Macaca fascicularis: one gene and its partner. Each later gene encodes a partner of the first gene's protein in a complex. Links are inferred from orthologs where the notes say so. Each region holds a gene or a part of one and is shown in the gene's direction. Other genes may lie near its edges.

Region 1 (3,519 bases):
AAGCTTATGTTCTGAGTTGTTTTTTACTTTTTCCTTAAAAGAAGTGAGCATTGTTTTCAAAATAGGGTTTTGTTTTCATTCTTTCAAAGTTAGTTCTCTATAACTGGTACTTCAAGTATATATTTCATTTCCAAATGAATTTTGAATAAATAACACAAATATACCAACACAGCCACCAGTAAACAATTGATGCTTTGGCTCTCATAGGAAGATTCCTTGTTACTAAAATCTTATGAATACTAACTTTTGAGAGATTTTGGGCTATATTTTCTAAATAATAAAGATCAATGCCTAATATACTGGATAATCAGGTCCTATTAAGTGACATCACAATCAGTCTGTAATTGGTACAAAGCACATAAGAAAAAGATATTAAGCCAGTTATTGAATAGGAAGGATACTGATATTTATTGAGCCAAAAGGCTCTGTATGCTGGGTTCCTAACCTACCTATTTAATACAAGAAAACAATTGTATAAGGTATAGTTGTTTCCATTTTTACACATAAGGAAACTGAAGCTGAGCTACTAAGGAACATGTCCAGAGTTATATAGCTAGAAAGTGACTGAGATGAGATTTGAATACAGGTTCTGGCTGCGAAGCCCATTTTCTTTTCACTATACCGTGCTGACTCCTGAATTTTTAAAGATTATATTCTTTTTTTCAAGGTAAAAAGGTTGAGAAACATTGTATTATCATGATAGATTGAAAATGGTCAGTATCTTAAATTTAGTAATCAAAGGAAGTATGTCCTAGTGGAAAGGACAGAGGTGAGAATAAAGAAATCTTCCGTCTGCTGTGTTCTCTCACTAGCTACCTCTGAATAAATCAGACAATCACGTCATCGTGAAGAAAAGAACTCTGCAGGATGGCCATAATTAGCAACATTACTGATAGTAATAAGCTGGGGGTAGGATTGTAAGCATGCCATTTCCCCTTCCTTACAGGAGTAAGGTGCTGAGGAAGCTTCCCTGTAGAAGAGGTTCCATTTCCATATGTCTAATTATTGACCCCTTCATTGGTACTGCAAATAAAATACTGGCTCTGATGATTTTGTTATATTGATGCTCCTCAATGAGAAATAAAAGGAGACTTTTCAGCACAATTTGTGTCTCTGAGTTATCCCTTTTCACGTATTTCTTTTATTTGTACCCAAAATAATACACTCTCATGGGAACGTGGTAACAATGTGATTTCTTGGCAGTTCTCCAGATTCTCTTGTAATTGTGTAGATCCACTATTGGTCACTGTTTGCATGGTCAGGGGTGTGAAAGTAAAGGAAAATGTATAAAACATTTAATAATTTCTTTATGCTAGGAACAATGCAAAGCATTTCTCAAATTCCTGTAACATATTTTTATCAATAATTTTATGTAACATCAATAGCCCTTTATATAATCCACAAATATTAGTTATTTACCTACTTGTATGCTTAATGACAAAGCTATAGAAATTGCTAATTTTCATTATTAAATATTAATTTATGTAATGTACATATTGGGTATAATATGCTTTATTTCATCCAGCTTGTATACCCCTAAAAGAAGATTCACTGATGAAAATTTTTTAAATAAAGAGACTGGTTGAGAACACTGATCAGTATCCCCTAATAAATCCACTTTATCCTCAGATGGTTTCTATCATATAAACATAGGATTAAAGTCTTAGCACAAATAAAATGGAATGTTTTCATCTCTACATTCAGGTGTGAAATAGTTTTTTAAAAATATCTTTATAGCCCTGGTTCTAAATACATCTCATCCAGTGGTGGTCCCCAAACATCAGTGTATATTGAAATAGTCACAGGAAAAAAAAATCATACATGATTAGATTGATAATTATTGTTTATTCCTAATATCTTTAATATTTTTATAAAATGCTATAATGATATTCAGGAGACTTTAGTGATTTCAATTAATATGTATGTTTGAAAATAGCTTTTTGTAACATTTCAGTGGAAAAAATCTATCCATTATTTTATTCTAACTTGGTATTATCTAATTATGGTTTTTAGCTCTTCTCACAGACAGTTTTATCATCTTATCATTTTTGGCACAAAACAAGCTATGTTTTATTCAGTTTACCAAGAAGATGGATTCTTCTGATGTAAACAAAAGACTGGAAAAACTCTCAGCCTTGGATTATAAGGTAGATATTTTGATTTATATAGTCATATTATTAATTATTAAGGTATATGAAAGTATCTCATAAGCTGGTATTCTGCTCATTATTCTTAAACATTCTGGATTTCAGAAACACTGGAAATATTACAGGATTAAGCTTAATTAACTGCAAACAGTGGCCATTCTAAGTTTTCTTTTATACTCTCACTATGGGGGGATGTCTAACAATGGCATGTTTGGAGCAATTTATATAGTATTTATAGACGTCAAAGACAGATAATAGAGGCAAGTTACACTTTGAAAATGGTTTTTGTACTAGTGGTAGTATATATATTCTCATTTTCCCGTAAGACCCCATATCATCTTTCTAGGGTAGGATAGCTGCTCTGGTTTCCACTTCACAAGAAAAGAAAGAAAGAAGAAGGCACTTTCAAAGGTTAATAGAAAAGTGTAATAAATAAGGAGGGGGAAGAACCCTCCCCTTCCAACTATAACTGGACAAAATGCAAAAAGAAATCTCCTTCATGTGTTAGTATCTCTCCCTTCACTAACTCCAGGTAATTTGTTTCCTTCCTGTATCAGGGGCTTTACATCTGTTAAGGCAGAATTCTTATTTTAAGTGATGTGTTTAAGTTTTGCCACATTACATTTTAACTGCTGGGAAGGCATATTCTCTGCTAGGATGAGTATCTAATACATTTTCCAGGCTGTTTCAGTTCAAGGCCTCTTTTCAGCAATGACTTGTGTTTGCAAGATTGATCCAACCTCTGTGATGTGGATTTGAGACAGTTCACTGTTCACTGGGAACAGAGCTGATACACAGCTTCCTTAAAAAAGATGCACACTTATGCCATACCTGGAGCATCTACAGCAAGAGCAAAGAGTTTGAGAAGCTACCTCTGTAGCTTGAAATGTGTGTGTGTTTTTGGCAAACTAGTATTTAACCTAACCCTTTGCCCTTTGGGATTATTACTTATGAATGAGGTGGTGGTAGTGTGGGAGGATTTAGTTTTATTTAGTAGAAACATTTATTCTGAAAAAAAGATTTTTAATGTAGAATAAAATAAATGAGTTTTTCATTGTGGTAATAAACTACCATCTAGTTTTGTTTGCCAGCTTTGCGAAACTTCTGTAAAACCTTAATATAGATTTTTTAAAACTGGAAATTAGTGCTACTTATTATATGTGGTTAGCCAAAACAAAAATAGTATTAGCATTTTTAAAAGGATGTTAGTTCTAGAACGGCTAACTCCAGATTTACTTGAAATACTGTTTACTTACTAAAATTGATCGGTCGTTAAAATGCACCAGTGTGTGCATTAACTCAAACTATTTAAAGTAACTGTATATAAAATTTTGAATGACTAGTTTCTTTATCTTAGGTGTGATAGCTTGAT
Region 2 (3,519 bases), on another chromosome or scaffold:
CCAATTCAAATTAATCTGTGAAAACATTTTAAAGTAACACTAGTAATACCAGTTAATACTAACAATACTTATTAATTTACAGAAAAAGCAAGGACTAAATAGTAGAGACCGTTCAGATTCCACAAAGTCGGTGTCTTCTCTTAACCCTGTTAAAGAACATGGTGTGTTGTTTGAATGTTCACCTGGAAACTGGACTGATCAGAAAAAAGCACCACCAGTTATGGCCTACTGGGTAGTAGGGTAAGTGGGAAAAAAAGTATTTGAAAGTAAAGTGTTAGAAAAGTGAAAGAAAATTGATAAAGGAGATTAACATTTTAAAATGTAGGCACGGAATTTTTAATCTAGCTATAATATTTTAATATATTTTATTTTATTTGCTAAGTATCTCTTTTAAATCCCTTCCAAGTATTTTTCTATTAAAAATTACCTTACAAAATTAAATTTTAGTAATACACTGAAAGAATAATTCCACAGTTTTTCTCCTCTTCCCTTTTTCCCCTGCTTCGTTCATTTCTTCCTCCTCTCTCCTTTCTTTCCCTCTTTCCATCCTTTCCCTTTTCTTCCCTTCCCCTCTCTCTGCCCTGTGCCACAAGACCATGCCCAATCAGGACCCTGCCCACCTTTGTTTCCATCTCCTGTCTTCCTTCCTCTTCTGTCTGCTGTGCACCAGCTGCATGAGTACCAATCAAATCTTGTTTCTGCTGTTCCTTCTGCGTGGGATATTCTATCCCTTGACCTTTGCACTTCTGCATCCTTGGTATTCAGACCAGTGCTAACAGGTAGGTCATCTTGTCAGAGAGGATCCATGATCTCTTTTCCTCATCAAAGTGGCTACTCAGTTATTCTCTATATCACTCTTTTATTGTTTATTTTCTTGTCCTTCTCCACCTCCCACCCTCATTACAGTGGCAGCTTCATGAGGTCAGGAATTGTATCTGTCTTGTCCACCACTGGCACCTGCAACAGTACCTGGCACATAATATAGTCACTTGATAAATATGTGATGGTTGAGTAGGTGAGACTGTTCCTGGCAAAATGTGGAACTGGTGGTGGGGTTGGTGGTCAGTGGGCGGTATGGCAAACACAGAGACATAGTCATTGCCTCTACGGGCCTTATATCTAGCAAAAGAATTATGAAATATGCTCAAATATCTATATATTTATATATCTATATTATATAGATATAGAGAGAAATCCTATATATGTGTGTGTTGTATATACATATATGTAAAATGAATTAGGTGATACAACCAAATGCTATAGGAATTCTGAGGAGGGGGCAAAATCTAATGAACAAAGACCCAAACAATGGAAATTATACAGCACAGCAGTGAGCAGACTGGTTTGCCAGGATGGTAGAGGAATGACATATACAAAGATTAAGTGAAAGATGAAGTTGGGAACCTAAGTTAGGACCACTGCAGAAGGTTCTTTGAGTTGGAGTAAAGGTTGGTGGAGGAAAGGGCACAGAATTAGTTGGGAGTAGGGGTAGTGGACATGTACCAGGTAGTATTAAGCTGTATGATACACACTTTACAGACATTATCCAAAGCAGAAATTCCCATATGCTGGTCCATGGGATTTAGAATCACCTGGGTCACTTGTTAAAATCTGAGATGCCTGGGCCCCAGATCTACTAAATCAAAATCTATGAGAGTGGGAATCTGTATTTTTAGTAAGCTCCCTTGTGATTATCATATGAACCAGGCTTGGGAACATCAGTGTAAGCTTAATTCCATGTAGTTGTACTACTGGAAGATTAAACTGGGAGCAGCCAATGGAATGATGTGCATATGAGAGAGACTAGAAATGAGAAGACCAGTTAGGCACACATGTAGCTGTTCAGTGGAGTGTTAACTACGTTCATGACTATAGGAATAGAAAGAATCAAAAGATATTGAATTATGATAATGCAGATTTATGCAGAACAGAAATTTAAGAAAATCAGGCAGAATTATCTCCAGTTTAAATAGATCAGTTTATATAAATTAATATTGATTAAATAGATTCAAATTTTGACTCTTTAAGAAAATCAAATAAAATTTCAATGTTAATTCCAATTCAGTTCTGTTTGCCAAAAAAAGCTACCATATATTTAATGTTTTAATAAAAATTAAATGTTAGAAAGTAAAGAGCAATAAAATATTTAATAACTATTGTGCCTATGATGCTAGTGCTATTGCCTTTATTGTAATAACTAGATTTACTATTTAAAAACTTGGTGGTATTGTAATACATATTGATAAAATAGGATTATTACACTCCAGAGCAATAAAAACTAATTGTCCTAAGGCATATATTATTTATTTAGAAATAAATCTAGCTGCTTTCTCCCTAGTATAGATTTAGATTTGTGGATTTTAAATTTACTACTGATACTTTCAGAAACAAAAAATAAATTGGACAGTTAGAGTTTTTGTTGTTGTTGTTTTAATTTCTGAAATGAGTGTGTTCTTTTCTTCTGCAGGAGACTTTTTCTTCATCCAAAACCTCAAGAACTTTATGTCTGTTTTCATGACTCAGTCACAGAAATTGCCATTGAAATAGCTTTTAAATTGTTCTTTGGGTTAACCTTGTAGCCGTGCTTTCTTGATGTGTAGAAATACATGCATAGAGGATTAAACACTGTCAGAATTGCTGAAATCAATACAAAAAGAGTTAAAATTTAGTTTCTTTTTACTTTTCAATATTGAACATAGTATTGTTAAATATTGATATGAAATGCTGTTGGATTTGGTATGTTAAATCTTAATGTAATATTGTAAGACTTTTGAGAATATACTTGATCAAAATGTGAAAGAAGGGATTGTTAACTTATTGCTATTTTGATATATAATGTTAATTTATTGACTAGTTTGAAATAATGTGAAGTTTTTCATATAAGATTAATATAGGAAACGTTTACTCCTGAAAACTATCCAATTTGTTTATTTTTCTCAAAATTCATACTGATATCTGGTGAAACAATTATGATTGGGAGGAGGTGACCAGGTGCTGTAGCTAAGTAGTGCTATGACCATGAGCAAGTTTTTGTACCTCTCTAAGCTCAGAGTTTTCATGTAAAATGAGATGATTGCATTGAGGTTTCAAAAGTTCCTCTTAAGTAAAATGTGCTTTTATTTTGTTTTAGTTTTAGTTTTAGTTCTGGTACATGTGCAGGATGTGCTGGTTTGTTACATAGGTAAACGTGTGCCATGTCGGTTTGCTCCACCTATCAACCTGTCACCTAGGTATTAAGCCTAGCATGCATTAGCTATTTTCCCTAATACTCTCCCTACCCCCACAATAGGCCCCGGTGTGTATGGTTCCCCTCCCTTTGTCCATGTGTTCTCATGGTGAGCTCCCACTTACAAGTGAGAACCTACATTGTTTGGTTTTCTGTTCCTGCGTTAGTTTGCTGAGGATAATGGCTTCCAGCTTCATCCATGTCCCTGCAAAGGACATGATCTCATTCCCTTTTGTGGCTGCATAGTATTCCATGGTGTATATGTACCACATTTGCTTTATCCAGTCTATTGC

Evidence for each region.
Region 2: the proteins of WDPCP (region 1) and INTU are in contact, whole or in part, in a cryo-EM structure (PDB 7Q3E), measured with the Mus musculus proteins. The link is inferred for Macaca fascicularis from reciprocal best matches to the Homo sapiens genes WDPCP and INTU. Residues at the interface, in NP_663400.2 of Mus musculus: Phe3, Cys4, Leu5, Ile24, Leu51, Ser54, Arg55, Asp56, Lys93, Leu385, Ala386, Glu387, Asp388, Tyr389, Ile427, Lys446, Leu447, Gly448, Ile449, Leu450, Thr451, Arg452, Gly453, Leu455, Leu462, Gln463, Ile465, His466, Tyr467, Gln487; in NP_780724.3 of Mus musculus: Val481, Gln484, Val488, Asp491, Ser495, Asp496, Glu498, Ala499, Ala500, Asp501, Ser506, Glu507, Asp508, Arg513, Arg514, Thr517, Ser532, His533, Leu534, Pro535, His574, Tyr593, Glu610, Gly613, Cys614, Ala615, Ser616, Lys617, Ser653, Pro654.

The regions. Positions count from the first base shown.
Region 1 is NC_088387.1:58,502,301-58,505,819, forward strand, and holds part of WDPCP (WD repeat-containing and planar cell polarity effector protein fritz homolog), read left to right. Parts: intron 1-2,013; coding exon 2,014-2,147; intron 2,148-3,519. UniProt on the Homo sapiens protein: Probable effector of the planar cell polarity signaling pathway which regulates the septin cytoskeleton in both ciliogenesis and collective cell movements.
Region 2 is NC_088379.1:132,729,263-132,732,781, forward strand, and holds part of INTU (protein inturned), read left to right. Parts: intron 1-82; coding exon 83-240; intron 241-2,467; coding exon 2,468-2,579; 3' UTR 2,580-3,519. UniProt on the Homo sapiens protein: Plays a key role in ciliogenesis and embryonic development.